5 linked regions of the Callithrix jacchus genome follow. The protein of the gene in region 1 interacts with the protein of each later gene in a pairwise test. Links are inferred from orthologs where the notes say so. Each region holds a gene or a part of one and is shown on either strand. Other genes may lie near its edges. The genes, in order: CCDC184, STX11, GPANK1, PBLD and PIN1.

Evidence for each region.
Region 2: the proteins of CCDC184 (region 1) and STX11 interact in binary tests that used the Homo sapiens proteins (3 or more experiments, as listed by UniProt). The two-hybrid records come from large-scale screens. The link is inferred for Callithrix jacchus from reciprocal best matches to the Homo sapiens genes CCDC184 and STX11.
Region 3: the proteins of CCDC184 (region 1) and GPANK1 interact in binary tests that used the Homo sapiens proteins (3 or more experiments, as listed by UniProt). The two-hybrid records come from large-scale screens. The link is inferred for Callithrix jacchus from reciprocal best matches to the Homo sapiens genes CCDC184 and GPANK1.
Region 4: the proteins of CCDC184 (region 1) and PBLD interact in binary tests that used the Homo sapiens proteins (3 or more experiments, as listed by UniProt). The two-hybrid records come from large-scale screens. The link is inferred for Callithrix jacchus from reciprocal best matches to the Homo sapiens genes CCDC184 and PBLD.
Region 5: the proteins of CCDC184 (region 1) and PIN1 interact in binary tests that used the Homo sapiens proteins (3 or more experiments, as listed by UniProt). The two-hybrid records come from large-scale screens. The link is inferred for Callithrix jacchus from reciprocal best matches to the Homo sapiens genes CCDC184 and PIN1.

The regions. Positions count from the first base shown.
Region 1 is NC_133510.1:2,507,382-2,511,651, reverse strand, and holds CCDC184 (coiled-coil domain-containing protein 184), read right to left. Parts: upstream 2,764-4,270; 5' UTR 2,289-2,763; coding exon 1,704-2,288; 3' UTR 510-1,703; downstream 1-509.
Region 2 is NC_133505.1:150,934,601-150,937,376, forward strand, and holds the end of STX11 (syntaxin-11), read left to right. Parts: coding exon 1-818; 3' UTR 819-2,276; downstream 2,277-2,776. UniProt on the Homo sapiens protein: SNARE that acts to regulate protein transport between late endosomes and the trans-Golgi network.
Region 3 is NC_133505.1:39,167,670-39,171,935, reverse strand, and holds the start of GPANK1 (G patch domain and ankyrin repeat-containing protein 1), read left to right. Parts: upstream 1-1,461; 5' UTR 1,462-1,692; exon of another isoform or gene 1,693-1,772; coding exon of another isoform or gene 1,773-1,791; exon of another isoform or gene 1,792-2,189; intron 2,190-2,278; 5' UTR 2,279-2,429; intron 2,430-2,803; 5' UTR 2,804-2,805; coding exon 2,806-3,434; intron 3,435-4,266. Other genes in the region: CSNK2B (casein kinase II subunit beta), read right to left, coding at 364-446, 768-843.
Region 4 is NC_133513.1:62,110,022-62,113,538, forward strand, and holds part of PBLD (phenazine biosynthesis-like domain-containing protein), read left to right. Parts: intron 1-3,386; coding exon 3,387-3,486; intron 3,487-3,517.
Region 5 is NC_133523.1:9,042,818-9,045,688, forward strand, and holds the end of PIN1 (peptidyl-prolyl cis-trans isomerase NIMA-interacting 1), read left to right. Parts: intron 1-791; coding exon 792-902; coding exon of another isoform or gene 903-927; intron 928-1,760; coding exon 1,761-1,870; 3' UTR 1,871-2,357; downstream 2,358-2,871. UniProt on the Homo sapiens protein: Peptidyl-prolyl cis/trans isomerase (PPIase) that binds to and isomerizes specific phosphorylated Ser/Thr-Pro (pSer/Thr-Pro) motifs.

The sequences.
Region 1 (4,270 bases):
CAAGGGAGTAGACTAGAGCTGTCAGTCAAGCTCTCTGGGGAACTCCTTACCCGGGTTCTCCGCTAGAGGCCTGAGGCAGTTACTGTGGTTTCCCTTTGTGATGTGTCACTGTTTCCAGAGATCCCAGGCAATCCCTCCAGAACAATACCCCCACCCCACTCCTTCCACGGAGCAGGTGCAGTACCTGGCATTCCAGGACCCAGATTCGGAAATCATTCTCCCAGAGGCCAGATGCTTCACTGAAAAGATATCACCTGCCCATTTGGAGTTCTGGATACTAAAAACCCATGTTAGCATGGGAATCTCAACACTTACCACCTCCTTCCCCAGGGCAGCTTGAGGTCAAGGTCCAGGACAGAAAGGAAAGCAGGTAGGGTTGGCAATGCCTGTCCCAACCAGAGCAGACAGTCAACTCCTTCAATTGGAGGCAAAGAGAGAGGAGGGAAGGCATGGTCCCTGCAGTTCCCACTAAGCCCCACCCTGATATTCCCCTAGTACTAGTCAGCAAGAAGGGGAGATGACGCCTTTTTTATTAAGATTAATACCAAGGAAAGCATTGAGAAGGAATACACAAAGGAGGGGAGGGCACACAGTCACCACTTGAGGAGATGGGAGGGTCGCACATCAGTAAAGGAACCTCAGGACAGCCACATGCACCATGCCCTGGTTGGGGGAAGAGGGAGGGGAAAGCGCCATGATAGCTTGGAGCTCACAGAAGGGTCTGAAGCCCCCTGAACCTAACACCAGAGCCACAAGCCCTGCCCCTCAGGGCTCACACACTACTACACAAGTGGACACACAGAACACACACAAGACATTATGGAGGCAACACCGAGAGGCAGCGGGCGGGGACATATTGACAGAAAAAGGAACTGAAGTTAAGCAGATGTAGCCAGGAGAGACAGTTTATGGCTGCGGCCCCAAGAGTCCCTCAAACGTCCCCTAAATCTGGGCTGCTGCTGAGCACCCCTGAGTCTCTGCCTGTGAACCGGGCTCTTTGTTCTCTCTGCCCCAGTGAGTGGAAAAGCTACCCCAGATGAAGTCAGTGACAAGGCAGGATCCGCTCTGCATGCAGAATCCTAGAGGTTGAGCTATTATGTCTTCATGCACATTCACAGCCAGCTCCTCCCAGCCCAGGGGCCCTTGGAACCCCATTCACCAGGATTCCCAGGGCTGCGGTTCCCTCCTCAGGCTTCCTTTACCAATCAGCAGCCGCAGAGGTCCGTGAAGGGGAGAGGCTTCTGCAGAGCACTGAATATCTTGGATTTCGGCAGAAGGGTAAATTTCCTGTTGCCAGAACAGAATACCCCCAAGTCCTTAATTTCTAGGTAAATCGTTAGAGATTATTTGCCGTGGTCCTAGATAAGTCCTTTTTCAGAATAGAAAAAGCAGAAATTTATTTACACAATTCAGGGGTCGTCCTGTTGTCTGGGGAGGGGGAAAGGACAGGACAGGGGACGGATGGGAGTCCAGAGGTGGGCGCGTCCTCTCCCGGAACCTCACCTTTCCGCAGTTTGCTGTAATCTGCTTAGCTGGGCAGAAAGAATTATTCATGCTCCCCAAGTCCTTCGCCCTACAAATCCTTCCTCGAGGGAGCCTCTCTCTGCCTGACCCACAAGAGCAGCTGTCCAAGCGAAGCGTGCCGCACCGCGCCGTTCGGTCCCCAAGGCCAGCCCGGGAAGGTGGTGCCCCGCGGAGTCCCCTCACAGGGACGCCTCGCCCTCCAGTTGCAGCAGGGTAATGTCGGGCAGGTCGAGGGGCTCCACGAGTGGCCCGTCCCCCTCAAGGAGACCAGCACAGGGGCTCTCGGGGCGCTCACAGTGACTGGTGGGTGTGGCGGGACTGGGCATCTCCTTCTCTTCTTCGTCGTCCTCCTCGTCCTCGGGGTCGCCGCCCAGCAAGCCGCTGTCCCCGATCCCCGGCGACGGAGTGCCCGGCTCTCGGGGGTCGCTCCGGAAGCTCCCGCTGCCGCCGACCACGCCCAGGCCGCCCTGGCGGGGCGCCGTGGTCATGATCTGGCACATGGAGACGATGGCTCGCTGGTTGGCGCACACGTCGTCCGAGAGCACCTGGATGTGCGAGGCCTGCTCGTCCAGGGCGCCCCTCATGGCCCTCACGTCCTCAAACAGGGCCTGCAGCTGGGCTTTCAGGTGCTCCATCAGCTCCTTCATGCCGCCGTTGTACTCCCCGGAGATCACGTCCCCCACGGCCGGCACGGCGGACACCTCCAGGGGCGCTGGCATGTCGCCGCCGTCCTTGGTCCTGATCTCCAGCAGACCGTCCTCCATGGAGTGGCAGAAGCGGTGGCGGCGGCTCCGGGTCGCGTCCTGCCCGGCCTCGGGGTGGGGGTGGGGGGGGAGAGGTCCCGGGAGGGGCGGGGAGGAGCCGAGGGAAGCGGAGGCCCCCGAGACGGGCGGGGAGCCCACGTGAGAGCCGAGTCCCGGGCAGAGGGCGCGGGCGGGATCGCGGGAGGCCGAGGAGAGGCGGCGGGGCGAGGGGCCCGGAGAGGGTCCCGGAGCCGGCGTCTCTTGGGCTCGCCCCGGGACGAGAGCGCCCTGCCCCGCCCGGCCTCCCGGATCGCCGCCGTCAGCGCCGCCCTCTGGACGCCACGAGCAGAGCGCCCGCCGGCTCCGTGGGTCACAGACGCGCTCGCCGAGGGGCCCGGGGCGAGGCTGAGGCCAGCGGCGCGTCGGGCTCGGGACTCCCCCAGGCACCAACGGGCAGTGCCCGGAGTGTGGCGGCAGCAGCTGGGGCGGGTCACCCGGAGGCGCCGCGGATGCTCCTGGTTTCCAAGGCGACGCACGGCACGTACGTGACGTCTGTCTCCATGGTAACCAGGAAGTGGAGAGGAAAGGGAGCCGGCCGGAGGCTGCAGTGGGCTCTGGAGCCCGCACGAGGGGTGGGGGAGGCGGAGGGGGCGCTGCAGAGGCTTCGGCCCAGGCCGGGAGGAGCGGGCGCCTGCAGGGTTTAGTGGGAAGCGTGAGAGAGCCGTTCGCTGCAGACACCTCCGCGTCCCGGAGAGATCGGCCCTCCCCTAACGGAGGGCGAGGCCCAGCGCGACTGCCCTGAAGGATTTTTGCAGCCCTCAGTCCTTTCCCAGAGGACGGCGCTAAAGTAGGGTCCTGCCTCCCTGTCCTGCAGCGGTGCTCAGGAGGGCGGAGGGGCAGCGAGGCTGATGCCGGCCGTCCCAGAGTTGGGCTGGGCGTGCTGGCGCTCCGGAGCCGGCCCCACCAGGCCTGGCGGTGCAGAGGCAGGAGGAGGGCACTACGGAGCTTTCCGCAGTAAATCAGCCCTGTCTCTACAGAAAGCCTGTCTCTACCGGAGCCGGGGAAGGACGGGACTCCCTTCTTTGTGGGACCCTGCTGCCCCCACCCAAGTCCCCGGGAGTCTGCCCGGATGGGGAGGCCAAGTCCTTAAGTTTGGAGAATGAAAGCTCCGTAAGGGCGAGATTTTCGTCCCCGCTGCTCCCTCCATCACGGAATCCCCAGCTCCTAAAATAGTGCCTGGCACCTAGTATATAGATGCTTAATATAGTGATTGAATGAAAACTTTACCAAAAACCACCAAGTCCCCTGCTGTCATCCAGAACTCTCCAAGCCAATCGTAGTGGGTTTTAGGAGACCCGAATTCAGTTTCGTTTCCGCCACTTATTCATTCAGAGACCTTAGCCACATCATTCGCCTCATCTGTTAGGGAATTGGACTGGATAATCTGCAATCTCATTTCTAATTCTGAATAACACTCTGCAGCATCTCACAGGTGAGAAGGTAAACAGACCGCTGGCCGTTGTGTGGAGGGGATGAATGGAGGGACTGCGTGTTAGAGTAATTCCCGCTCTCTCTTTCAGTGCCCAAGTTCAGACCTACACTGAGTGTCCCCAACCTTTGTGACAACCCCTTTCCCTATTTAAGGGGTGGAGCAGGAAGGGCGGAGGAAGAAGAAAAATGGTCTTTAATATATGTAGATGATACCAGATTGAGAAGGAATGGGCACCTGGGCGGAGCACACCAGTTAATAATGATCCTAGGAAATTAGGGAAGACAAGTGATCAGAAACCAGAAATGAAATTCGCAAGAATGAATCTGGGGAAGAGAAACAAACTGTATCACTTCAAGATAGAGAAGAACTAGGTAGAGGTGAGTGTTTTGTAAATTGGCGATTCGGCAACAGCAAATGTGTTACCTTGGGTTTTCCCTGGTTATGTGCTTGGTGATGAAGATGAAGCTGGCCCAGGGAAACTTTAATGACACTAGAGGACTGTTTGGCCTAT
Region 2 (2,776 bases), on another chromosome or scaffold:
ACCAGCAGTTCCCAGACGGGGACGATGAGTTTGACTCGCCCCACGAGAACATTGTGTTCGAGACGGACCACATCCTGGAGTCCCTGTACCGAGACATCCAGGACATCCAGTATGAAAACCAGCTGCTGGTGGCCGACGTGAAGCGGCTGGGAAAGCAGAACGCCCGATTCCTCACGTCCATGCGGCGCCTCAGCAGCATCAAGCGCGACACCAACTCCATCGCCAAGGCCATCAAGGCCCGGGGCGAGGTCATCCACCGCAAGCTGCGCGCCATGAAGGAGCTGAGCGAGGCGGCCGAGGCCCAGCACGGCCAGCACTCGGCGGCGGCGCGTATCTCGCGGGCACAGTACAACGCGCTCACCCTCACCTTCCAGCGTGCCATGCACGACTACAACCAGGCCGAGATGAAGCAGCGCGACAACTGCAAGATCCGCATCCAGCGCCAGCTGGAGATCATGGGCAAGGACGTCTCGGGCGACGAGATCGAGGACATGTTCGAGCAGGGCAAATGGGACGTGTTCTCCGAGAACCTGCTGGCCGATGTGAAGGGCGCGCGGGCCGCCCTCAACGAGATCGAGAGCCGCCACCGTGAGCTGCTGCGCCTGGAGAGCCGCATCCGTGACGTGCACGAGCTCTTCTTGCAGATGGCGGTGCTGGTGGAGAAGCAGGCCGACACCCTGAACGTCATCGAGCTCAACGTGCAGAAGACGGTGGACTACACCGGCCAGGCCAAGGCGCAGGTGCGCAAGGCCGTGCAGTACAAGAAGAAGAACCCCTGCCGGACCATCTGCTGTTTCTGCTGTCCCTGCCTCAAGTAGCAGGCCGGCCCGGGCCGCCGCCACCCATCCTAGACCCTAGAGAGCGCTGGGAAGGACGCACCAAGAGTTGCCCCAACTCTTAACGGAACTCAGTCTTTAAAGAAGAATCGCAGGGTCCAAGAATTGCAAGCCAGCCCATGCTTGAAAGGATAGTTAGCACACTGTCCGATGGTTCTTCAGTAAAGACGGATTCCTACAAAGTTGTGCAATGTCATTATATGATACCCTTGCACTCTTACCCTCTTGACGGAAGCCAAGAAAAGGACTGACGTTGTATCTGACTGTAGGGTGAATGTCTGAGGCCTGCCTCCTAATAAAGACTCAAGGAGGAAGTCAGTTGTGCGTCTGAAAATAGAATGGCCTCATGATGGAAACTTCAGTTTTTACGTTGTATAGAAAATTCCCTGGTTCTGGCTCACGCCTGTAATCCCAGCACTTTGGGAGGCTGAGGCGGGTGGATCACGAGGTCAACAGATCGAGACCATCCTGGTCAACATGGTGAAACCCCGTCTCTACTAAAAATACAAAAAAATTAGCTGGGCACAGTAGTGCGTGCCTGTAATCCCAGCTACTTAGGAGGCTGAGGCAGGAGAATTGCCTGAACCCAGGAGGCGGAGGTTGCGGTGAGCCGAGATCGTACCATTGCACTCCAGCCTGGGTAACAAGAGCGAAACTCCGTCTCAAAAGAAAAAAAAAAAAAAAAGAAAGAAAGAAAGAAAGAAAATTCCCTGGTTCTGTTCCATTTTGAGCAAAATTGACCTTGGGAAAAACCATGTTCTTCCTTTCCGATTCTTCATCCGGTCTATGCTATACAATTCCTCCCCAAGGGTAGACCTTATTTCTGCTCATTTCCCCTACTTATTAAAATCACACCAAACACTTAGTATTTCCTTATCTCTTTCACTTTTTAAATATCTTTCACCAGGTTATATTTTGGGATTATTTTTCCAAATGTTTTTAAGCACTGAATATCGAACAAGCACTCAAAATGAAGTACCAGTCGTGTTTTATGTATTTTTCACTGATAAAAATTATTTAACATTTATCTTTTTACTTGATTACATATGCACATATATATGTAAATGTAAGGTACTAATATTCACAAATGTGTGTATATAATGATCAATTGGTTTAGCTTCTTTTTTGTAAGTATGGTATATAAATTTCAAGAAGAACACCTTCTGGCTCTTGGTATTGATTTGCTTGTTTTGAGTCTGTTTCTCTCCAGTTTTCCCCTTTTAAGTCAAAACTTCATATTAAACAACTCTGCGTTGGTTATGGTGGTAGACAGGTGTTGAAAGCTGAAAATGTATACAGAGCTAGAGACAACTAACATTATTGGAAATACTGCTTTTGTTCCACTGTGGACCATTCTTTTCATGCATTGAAATGAAGTAATTTAAAGTAAAAGAATTTTGTTTTCTAAGCAAGACTAATAAACATTACATTATGAATATATTTTTATACATTTGTGTCGACCATTTAGTTTACTTTCTTAATTACTGTTAAATTTTTTTTTCTTTTTTCTTTTTTCTGGGGGTGGAGGCTGGGCAGGGGCCAATTTTTTTTTTTCTTTTCTTTTTTTACCTTTTGAAACAGGGTCTCCCCCTGTCACCCAGGCTGAAGTGCAGTGGCATAATCATGGCTTGCTGCAGCCTTAAGCTCTCAGGTTCACGTGATCCTCCTACCTCAGCCGGCAAATAATTAAGACTACAGTTATGTGCCGTCATGCCCAGCTAATTTTTGTATTTTCTGTAGACACAGGGTTTGGCATGTTGCCCAGGCTGATCTCAAACTTGTGAGCTCAAGCAATCCGCCTACCTTGGCCTCCCAAAATGCTGAGATTGCAGGCCTGAGCCACTGCTCCTGGCCAGAATTTTTTTCTACTATCTACTTGAGACTGCCACACCTGGACAGAACTGAGTGGAGAGAGAAAAGAATGAAAAACTCAAAGAATT
Region 3 (4,266 bases), on another chromosome or scaffold:
GCTACTTGGGAGGCTGGAGCAGGAGAATCACTTGAACCTGGAAGGCAGAGGTTGCATTGAGGTGAGATCACACCACTACACTCCAGCCTGGGTGACAGAGCAAGACTCGGTCTCAAAAAGAAAAAAAGAGAAAGTCACAAATTGCCTAGTCCAACGTTATATTGCTGGAGGATGGCAGAGTTGGGACAGGCCCCAATTTTGCCACTTTAGCACAGATTTGCCGGGGGTTACTGAGGGGACTCTTCATTGATGGGAAGTTTTCAAGTAGCATATAAGAGAACGATGAGGAAGTGGAATATGTGGAGAAACGTCTAGTGGGAATCTATGTGGAGCTGGCAAGGAGGGGGGTTGAAGAGAACTCACTTCACAGAAGAATTCATTGCCACGGAGCCCACAGAACCAGGAAATCCAGGACACCTCCTCTGAGCTGCTCATCTTCACGTCAGCTGGAAAACGAAGAATGTCAGTAAAGCTCAAGTTCTCCCTCCTTGCCTCTGGTATCCTCCCTCCTCCCACATTCGGCCCTCCAACCACGGGAGACTTTAGAATTTGGAGCCGTCCTTTTTTAAAGGATCCCAAACTCTGAAACACTCCTCTCCAGCTCCTCTAATTTACGTCTCAGCTCCTTTTCTTTGAGGTTAAACACACTTTGGGGTCCCACCACTTGAGAGAACCCAACAGATACTTTGACCCACCAGCCTGACCCACATCCCTGGAGCTCCCGAAGGCCAGGGCCCTCTCTACTTTGTGTCACCTCCAGCACGGACCTCGGCTCAGGCTCCCTACCACTGCAGCTCTCTGCATGACCCCGGCGCCTTTCCCAAGCGTTTCGAAGTTTATCATTCTCTAGCAAGAGCCGGGCCCCTCCTCTTCTTATGGGCTGGAGCGACCGTCAAGTCCCTTTCACTGGAGTCCACACATCTTGCCTCCGCTCCTCAGGCCACCTCTCCCTCCTTTGTGCCGGACCTGGTCGCTTCCTCCCCCGCCCCCACATCAAAGTACGGAGACCCCATGTGCTGCTCCCAACAAGAGACTCTGAGTAGCGACGACCTCAGACTCACCGCCTGGACGGGGACCAGGACTGGGGTGGGGTAGGGAAGTCGCTAGTTCCAAAGAACGGCGGCGACCGCTACAGCGCAGGCCGCGGACCCGACCGCGGCAAGAGAAGTGGGGTGGGGGGGAGTGGAAATTGGGGAGGGTGGGGAAGAGGGCAACACGCAAGCGCCAAGGGTCAGGTGCTGCGATGGATGCCGGGACACGGAGTCCCAGGTAGAAAGAGAAACTGGTGAAATGAAGGAAAAGCGAACTACCAATCCCAGGAAGACCCGCGGACGACCTGGCTGTCACGAAGCCCCGGAGGAGGACGCTTGCGGGCGGGGCACAGCGAGAAGCCACCGGAAGCGGAAGCCAGGTATGACGTTTGGGGCCAGGGAGCCTGGGAAATATAGTTGTGTGCTCACTGGGAGAAAAGCCGAGATGGGGCGGGGAGAGGAGGGAGACACGCAGTTCCCGTCTAGTTCCGGCGCAGCGGGGCGCTGCTGCCCAGGGGACTGGCCCATCCCCGGCCAATCCGCTGGGTCCTTATTGATTGTTGAGCCCCTAGTGAGAGTCAGTCCCGCCGGACACCCTTGACTGGCCTCCTGTTACCCTCCCGGCTCTGGCCTCATGAGGCGAGAGGTGCAGTTTGGCTCCGTGCGTAGGGACTTGGGTTGGGTGGGCTGGGCTGAGCTGAGCTGAGCGTTGTGAGAACCAGAACGGCCCAGTGCGGTAACCTGAGGTGGGGCCAGCCATTTCGCTCGTCCCCTTGCACTTCTCCTTTTACGCTCTAAGTGTGACCTTAGAACCCTGGTCAGAGTAATGGTGAGGGGCAGGCGTGACGTTATTTCATTTCACGGCTTCTCGGCATTCCACAAGTTTCCCTCCGCCTCCTGAGGGCCTTTCCTAACACGGAGAGTGGATTCCCAGGTCCAGAAAATGGACTTGGAGCGAGGGGGCGGGGAGGGGGGCGGTTCACGTTGAGGAAGGCGAAGGGCATTGTGGGGGCGTATAGGTAAAAGTAGAACCCTAACCGACAGATCCTGGTGCTCGCGCCAGCGGGGCGCGCAGAGCTTTGCGCGTTTGCTATTGGAAAGGTTCCAGCGCGGGAAACTGAACTGGGAGCTTTGCGCACGCCTGAGCCCTCAAGTAATGTGGGTTGTGGTTTTTGTTGTTGTTGTCGTCGCCACGCATGCGTCTTCGTGCCGTGCGGCTGTTTGATTGTGTCAACTCTTCTGTTTAGAATAGTGCCATTTTGCCGTACGAAAGCTACACAGCATCGCAGACTGGAGCCTGTCCTCCAGATCTTCCTAGGGAGTGACTTCTGTTTCGGAGAAAACTCCAAAATGGTATCGAGGAAGATTTAAAGGGACAGGCTGATTTTTTTCTTAATGGTATGTGTGTTTTACGGAGGGGTAAAATGGTTTCAGAAAGAGGCTGGTATTTATTGTTGGTGAGGATGGGGGTGGGAGTGGGGGCGGGACGCAGGACCGCTGGACAACTGTCTCATGGAGTTTTATTAACCTTTGCTAAGGAGCAGAGTCGGTTATTGTAGGGTTCTGTGTTTTTACAGAAAACCTCTTTCCCTTAGGCCCTGCAAGGTCCTAAGTTGTGGCGTCATTTTAGCGGCAGGAGGGTGTTTTTTGACTAGTTTTTCTCATCCCAGCATGTCCCTGGAGACTCTGGTTGCTACAGGGGTCACCAGTAGCTTGGCTTGCTTGTGTCATCCTTCCCTTGCCTGGTTTCATTTTCTCATTTCTCCCAAAAGCCATGTCCCGGCCCTTCCTCATCACCTTCACCCCAGCCACTGACCCCAGCGACCTCTGGAAGGATGGGCAGCAGCAGCAGCCACAGCCCAAGGAGCCAGAGTCCACCCTGGATGGGGCTGCAGCCCGAGCTTTCTATGAGGCCCTGATTGGGGATGAGAGCAGTGCTCCTGACTCCCAGAGATCTCAGACTGAACCTGCCAGAGAAAGAAAGAGAAAGAAAAGAAGAATAATGAGGGCAGCTGCGGCAGAAGCAGTGGCAGCAGGACCATCAGGAAGACATGGACAAGGGAGATCCCTTGAGGCTGAGGAAAAGATGACTCAGCAGATACTGAGGGCAGCCCAGGAGGGGGACCTAGCAGAACTTAGGAGACTGCTGGAGCCCCATGAAGCAGGAGGATCTGGGGGGAATATCAATGCTCGGGATGCCTTCTGGTGGACCCCACTGATGTGCGCTGCTCGAGCGGGCCAGGGGGCAGCTGTGAGCTATCTCCTGGGCCGTGGGGCTGCCTGGGTGGGGGTCTGTGAACTAGGGGGCAGGGATGCAGCTCAGCTCGCTGAAGAAGCTGGTTTCCCTGAGGTGGCTCGCATGGTCAGAGAGAGCCATGGAGAGACAAGGAGAACAGAGAACCGGTGAGGGGAAGCTAGTTCAGACCCATGTTTCAGTGTGTTCTGCCTTTCTCAGCCACTCCACACCAGAGGCCCCAGCACAGTGCTGAAGAGTTCTTTCCTTATGGTCATGTGTAAATTGTCATGGTGGTGTAGTCAAGTGGTTATGAATGTGAGCTCCCTGGATTGATTTATGTTATTATTTTTTTGAGACAAGAGTTTCGCTCTTGTTGCCCAGTGATCTCGGCACACCACAACCTCTGCCTCCTGGGTTCAAGTGATTCTCCTGCCTCAGCCTCCGAGTAGCTGGTATTACTGGCATGCTCCACCACACCTAGCTAATTCTTTACTTTTAGTAGAGACAGGGTTTCTCCATGTTGGTCTTGAACTCCCAACCTTAGGTGATCCATCTGCCTCGGCCTCCCAAAGTGCTGGGATTATAGGCGTGAGCTACCATGCCCAGCAGCTCCTTGGCTTTAAAGCCTGATTCCACTTACTTGGGCAAACAACCTAATGTCTACATGTCCTAGTTTTCCATCTTAGAAATGGGGGTAGTAAGGATTGTTGTTAGTATTCAGTGGGTTAATACATGTAAAATACTGGGTGTGGTGGCGCCTGCCTGTAGTCCCAGCTATTCGGGAGGCTAAGACTGGAGGATCTCTTGAGTCCAGGAGTTCTAGGCTGTAGTGTGCCATGCCGATTGGGTGTCCTCACTAAACTCGGCATCAATATGGTGACCTCCTGGGAGTGGGGGACCACCAGGTTGCCTAAGGAGGGTGAACCAGCCCACGTCAGAAACGGAGCAGGTCAAAACTCCCGTGCTGATCAGTAGTGGGATCGCACCTGTGACTAGCCA
Region 4 (3,517 bases), on another chromosome or scaffold:
TAGAAACCTTGCAGGGGTTCATTTTCTCTGCTAGACATTAATTTTCCCTGTCTGTACCATGTTAAAGGGTTAATAATCGTTTGTCTTTGTGATGGGCAGGCAGTAGTGAGGCTGGTTAAAGCATGACTTTGAGCCACTCAAATAAAAAGCTAACATGTATTAAGTACTTACTATGTGTTGGGCACTGGGTTATTTCTTTCTCTCACTCAACTCTCCTCTCTGAAGTCTCTCTCTGGGTGGGCTGGGGCACAATGGCTCATGCCTGTCATTCTAGCACTTTGGGAGGCTGATATGGGTGCATTCATTGCCTGAGCTCAGGAGTTCAAGACCAGCTTGGGCAACTTGGTGAAACTCCATCTCTACTAAAATACAAAAAGTTAGCCAGGCTTGCTTGTGCGTTCTTTAGTCCCAGGTACTCAGGGAGGCCAAGGTGGGAGAATGGCTTAGAACCTGGGAGGCGGAGGTTGCAGTGAGCTGAGATCATGCCACTGCACTCTAGCCTGGGTGACAGAGTAAGCCTCCGTCTCAAAACACACAAGTGCGTGTGCCCACACACACACACACACACACACACCCCAAACCTGCCTTTTTTTTTTTTTTTTTTTTTTTTTGAGACAGAGTCTCGCTCTTTCACCCATGCTGAAGTGCAGTGGTACCATCTCAGCTCACTGCAACCTCTGCTTCCCGGGTTCAAGCCGTTCTACTGTCTCAGCCTCCTGAGAATCTGGGATTACAGGTGCGCACCACCATACCTGGCAAATTTTTGTATTTTTAGTAGAGACAGGGTTTCGCCATGTTGGCCAGGCTAGTCTCCAACTCCTGACCTCAAGTAACCCACCCACCTCGGGCTCCCAAAGTGCTGGGATTACAGGCGTGAGCCATCGTGCCCAGCCCCTGCCAGGATTTTTATGTCAGCTAATAGTTTTAAAAATCATGACTGATTTTTCACAGTAGTCACTGTTTTATGCCCTGTACAATTATATAGAACATGTTTCAAAAGATTTTGAATCAAAGAGTATTTAATTTGCATAACTCGGAGAAGTGAATTATGAATTTACTAATATAAAATTATTATTCTTCTGGGTTTCAGGAGATCAAGAGCAGTAAATTTGGCCAAAACAAAGATGCATTTGCTTTGAAAATTCTTTAAAATTCAAAATCAAACTAGTAAGCATTTTATTGATTAAAAATGGATTTTCCTTCTCAATAGGAAAACATATTTCAGGTCCACTTTTTTCCTTGAGTTAAGAGGAATGTGTGTGTGTGTGTGTGTGTGTGCATGCGTGCGTGTGCGTGTGTGTTTGTATGCATGTATATATCTTCACAATAAACTTTGACTTAAGTGCTATTATTCCCATCTTAAAGGTTTGGAAACTGAGGCCATAAGAGTAAATGGCTTGCCCACTTTTACACTGCTACTAGGGACTCACCCAGGATAGAAATTCAATTCTGTTGCCGGTGCAGTGGCTCGCACCTATAATCCCAGCACTTTGGGAGGCTTAGGCAGTCTGATTGCCTGAGCTCAGGAGTTTGAGACCAGCCTGGGCAACACGGTGAAAGCCTCTCTCTACTAAAATAATACAAAAAATAAGTTGGGCATGGTGGCGTGCACCTGTAGTCCCAGTTACTTGGGAGGTTGAGGCAAGAGTATTGTTTGAACCTGGGAGGCAGAGATTGCAGTGAGCCGAGATCACGCCACTGCTCTCCAGCCTGGGAGACAGAGCAAGACTCTGTCTCAAAAAAACAAAAACAAAGAAAACCAAATTCAATTCTGTTTTCAAACCCACATAAGTTTTTAACATTTTATTTTGAAAAATTAACCTACAGAAAAGTTTCAAGAATGATACAATGAACATGCATATTCCCTTCCTCTATATTCACCAGTTGTTACTATTTAAAAAAATTTTTTTTCTAGACTCAAGGTCTTGTTATGTTGCCCAGGCTGGTCTCCAACTCCTGGGCATAAGCGATCCACTAGCCTCAGCCTCCCAAAATGCTGGGATTATAGGCATGAGCCACTGTGCCTGGCCAGTTGTTACTATTGTCCACATTTGTAAAACCCTCATCCTTTTTCTTTTCTTTTTTGTTTTTGAGACAGAGTCTTGCTCTGTCACCCAGTCTGGAGTGCAGTGGCACAATCATGGCTCACTGCAGCCTTGATCTCTGGGCTCAAGCGATCCTCCCGCCTCAGCCTCCTGTGTAGCTGGGACCATAGGCAAGCACCACCATGGCTGGCTAAACTTTTTATTTTTATTTTTAATAGAGACTGGTGGGTGGGAGTGTCTCTCTATGTTGCCCAGTGGTCTTGAACTCCTGGTCTCAAGCAATCCTCCTACTTTGGCCTCCCAAAGTGTTAGGATTACAGGCATAAGACACCATGCCCCGCTAAAGCCCTCATTCTTTTTCTTTATTTTAAGTATTTTATTTAAAGAGACAGGGTCTCACTGACTGTCTTGTTACTCAGGCTGGCCTTGAACTCCTATACACAAGCTACCCTCCTGCCTCAGCCTCCCAAAGTGCTGGGATTACAGGCATGAGCCACCATGCTTAGCTAAACTCTCATGCTTAATCACTGTACTGTTTATTAGGTATATGGTGGTCTTGGGATATTATATGATCCATCTGTTTAATTTCTTCATTTGTAAGGGCATAAAAAATTACATTGAGGGTTTTTAAAATGGGATTAAGTGAAATAATATACTTATTTTTTCTACAAATGTTTATTAATCTCCTACTGTGCTGGGATGAATACCAGACGTTGTTCCAGGTCCGGACAAAGCAAGACAGCACAGTCCATACCCAAACAGAACTTAGAATCAGAGGTGGGGAGGCCAGACAGTGAAGGGCACACAAGGCAATTTCAGGATATCTAAGCACTGGAGAGGAGACAACACCTTTAGATACAGTGGTCTGGGAAGGCTTACTGGAGGAGGTGACCCCTGGCCAGAAGCCCTTCCCACAGAAGGGAATAAATGCAAAGACAGGGGAAGAACGGTCCAGCCTGCCCAGAGTGAGTGCTGAGCATCTCTTTCACCAACATAGCAAGAGACTGGGGTACTGCCTTTTGTGGAGATTGTTTTTAGAAGAGAGCACACTTTGTCAGCTAGACTAGATCTTAATTTGACAAAAGATAGGCTAGGCCAGCCAGTTTTTCACAATCTATTCCAGATTGCACATTTATAACTCTTCTTCACAGGGTATGGCAAGCATGGATTTCTGAGAATCAGTCTTTATAAAAGGTGCCTTGAATTCCTTGGTAATGATTTCCTTTTAAGCATGTTACTTTTATTATTAACAAACTGCTTTTTAAATTAACGGTAGTTGCTGTCCAAAGGAAGTCTGATCTGTGTTTCTGAAATCTCAATAATCTTTTGTTTCTAATTAAGGAATTGGATGAAGACATGCATCAGAAAATTGCAAGGGAAATGAACCTCTCTGAAACTGCTTTTATCCGAAAAATGCACCCGACAGACAACTTTACACAAAGTAAATATGCATTTTTTTTTAACTGCTCTGT
Region 5 (2,871 bases), on another chromosome or scaffold:
TGCTGGCAGCCCTGTTCCTCCTTCCTCCACCAGCCCTGGCCTTCCCTTCCTCCTGGAGATTCAGACCTGATGGGCTGGTTTGGGCCACACAGGGAGGGGCCATCCTGAGTTCTGCCAGCATGCAGACTGTAGGTAGGAAGCTGGGAGAAGAGCTTTGTCGCCTGCCTCTGGGACCCTGGGACCCACAGTCTTCGAGTGTCCCTTGCAAAGCCCACCAGGGTGCCTCGGAGGCCTTTCCCAGTGCCAGGCTGTTCTTCCCAGATGGAACAGCATGGGAGGGCTGCTGTGGCAGTGTTGGGCCCTCCCTGGACAGCTCTCCTACCTCTGCCCAGAGGACCCCGGGGGCCCAGCCCCCTGCCTGGGTCAGCCTCTCCCTGCCTCCCACTCTGGCCTGTCCAGCTTGGATATAGATTTTCCCTCAAGTGTGTGTGTGTGTGTGTGTGTGTGTGCACGCGCGCGTGTGTGTGCACGCGCGCGTGCGTGCGTGCACATGGTGAGAGTGACAGCGGGAGCAGGGGTGTGAGACTCACAGGGTGGCAGGACTCATGGATGACTGGTGGGGTGCACCAAGTGCTGATGCACATGAAGGTGCATCTTCTTGGGTGAGGACAGGTGTGACTGGGTGCAAGTGTGTGTGAGGAGAAGGGTTGTGGGGCGCATGTGCACTTGTAGGGGGAGGTTTTCCAAGTGAAGTGCTGCCCCCCTCCCACCCAGCTCTGGAGCCCTCCATCCCGTTTGGTCAGGTGCCCCTGCCCCTGACCTGGCACTCCCATTCCATTCCATGTCTGCAGGCTACATCCAGAAGATCAAGTCAGGAGAGGAGGACTTTGAGTCTCTGGCCTCACAATTCAGCGACTGCAGCTCAGCCAAGGCCAGGGGAGACCTGGGCGCCTTCAGCAGAGGTGCGCAAGGAATGGGCTTCACCAGGTCTGGGGACCCTCTCCTCCCTAAGGGGTAGAGGCTGGGAGGGTCTGGGCACTGGGATCCGGGGTGCCACATGGCCCTTCAGGGTCCAGCAGGTGGCAGCACAGCCCCTTCCTCAGGCTTCAGAGTCTGCTCTGCTGGGCAGGGCGGGGGCCACACAGGGTGGGGGCTGCAGAGCTTTCTTCCTGGCATCGTCTCTATCCCGGGCCCACCAAGGCAGGTGCGTCCTGTCCTCTGCCTCTTCCTTTGGGGGTTTAAGGCTGGGTTCCCTGAGAATCCCAGGGAATGTTCCCCAGAATCCCTCTGGGTGGGGGGAGGTGGCCCTGAGTTTAGGCCTGTCTGGCCAGGACAGTGGAAATCAGGGGCAGAGAGGACCAAGCATCCTCCTTTTCCTTCTCAGGGTCTGCAAACAGGGAGAGGCCAGGCTGGGGTGTGGGGTGCATGCATCTGAGGGGGTTGGGGGTCCATAATGGGGCCAGCAGCTTCCCCCCTGCTCCGAGGAGGCTGGTGGGACAGATGACCTGGCAGGGCTGGGAACCAGGCCCAGGGAGATGAGTTCACTACCGAAGCGACCCCTAAACGCGCAGCAGCGGCTGCAGCCCTGCCTGCCATCCTTCATGCTGTCCTCGGGCTTCCTGGGGCCTCTTTAATGGCCCTGCCGCCCCCAGCTGGGCCACCACTCAGCACCGGCAATAAACATGGTGACGGATGAGTGTGGACGAGTGTGAGGCTCAGCGCAGTCAGGAGCCCCATCTATTGTGGCTGCCACCCGCCCTGCCTTATCCTGGCCTCTGACAACCCTGCCTTGACACCCCACCATCCCTCCCGGCTCCCAGGTCAGATGCAGAAGCCATTTGAAGATGCCTCATTTGCGCTGCGGACGGGAGAGATGAGCGGGCCCGTGTTCACGGATTCTGGCATCCACATCATTCTCCGCACAGAGTGAGGGTGGGGAGCCCAGGCCTGGCCTCTGGGTGGGGCAGGGCGGCTGGGCCCGCCAGCTCCCCCACTGCCTGCCGGCCAGTGGTCAAACCCCCTACTCCCTGCCACCGTCAAACAGTATTTATTGTTCCCAAAATGGCTGGGAGGGGGCCCTTCCAGATTGGGGGCCCTAGAGTCCCCACTCCCCGTCCATTCCCAGTTGGGGCTGCGACTGCCAGGCTCTCCCTTAAGGAATTGACTTCAGCAGGGGTGGAAGGTGCCCAGAACCAGGGCAGTGTGGTGGGAGGGGTGTTCCAAAGAGAAGGCCTGGTCAGCAGAGCCGCCCCGTGTCTTCCCCAGGTCCTGGAGGCAGACTCGAGGGCCGAGTTGTTTCTAGTTAGGCCACGCTCCTCTGTTCAGTTGCAAAAGCAAACACTCGTGCGGCCCAGCAGTGGGCCCTCTGAGCAACCGTGCAGTACCCTTTTACCCCAATTAAACACCTAGAACCACTACTCCGCTCTCTTATGTCTCATTTCTCTTTAGGGAAGCATAGGGGGCACCATGTCACTGGGAGGGGATCACAATCCCCCATCCTAAGGGTCCCAGCTATGCGTTTACCCTCAAGAGGCTCCCCCTTGCCCTGGGCCAGGGGGAGTCCCAGCAGCTGGCTCTCAGGGACGTGGGCACTGTTCAGCCACCCAGCACCCTGATACCTGCTTCCCTGGCATCTCAGGTGCTTCTGGAAGGTTCATGGGTCCAGCCCAGCACCCACTGCAGCTGTGGTTACCATGACAACAGGGCCCTCCGGGACTGGAGGGGGCTCCTGCAGGGAGGGGGATGGGAGCAGACACAGCTTCCAGTGCCTGAAGTGGGACAGGGGATCCTGGGGTGGGTGGTGAGGAGATGGGGTCCCCCACCAGTGTTGGGGCTGTGGGTGTGGCCTGCCTGATCCCCATCCCTGTTCAGTCAGCTGTGGGTCTGTTGGATGGAGAAGTGGTTATGCCTGCATACCCTACCCCCCCCTCA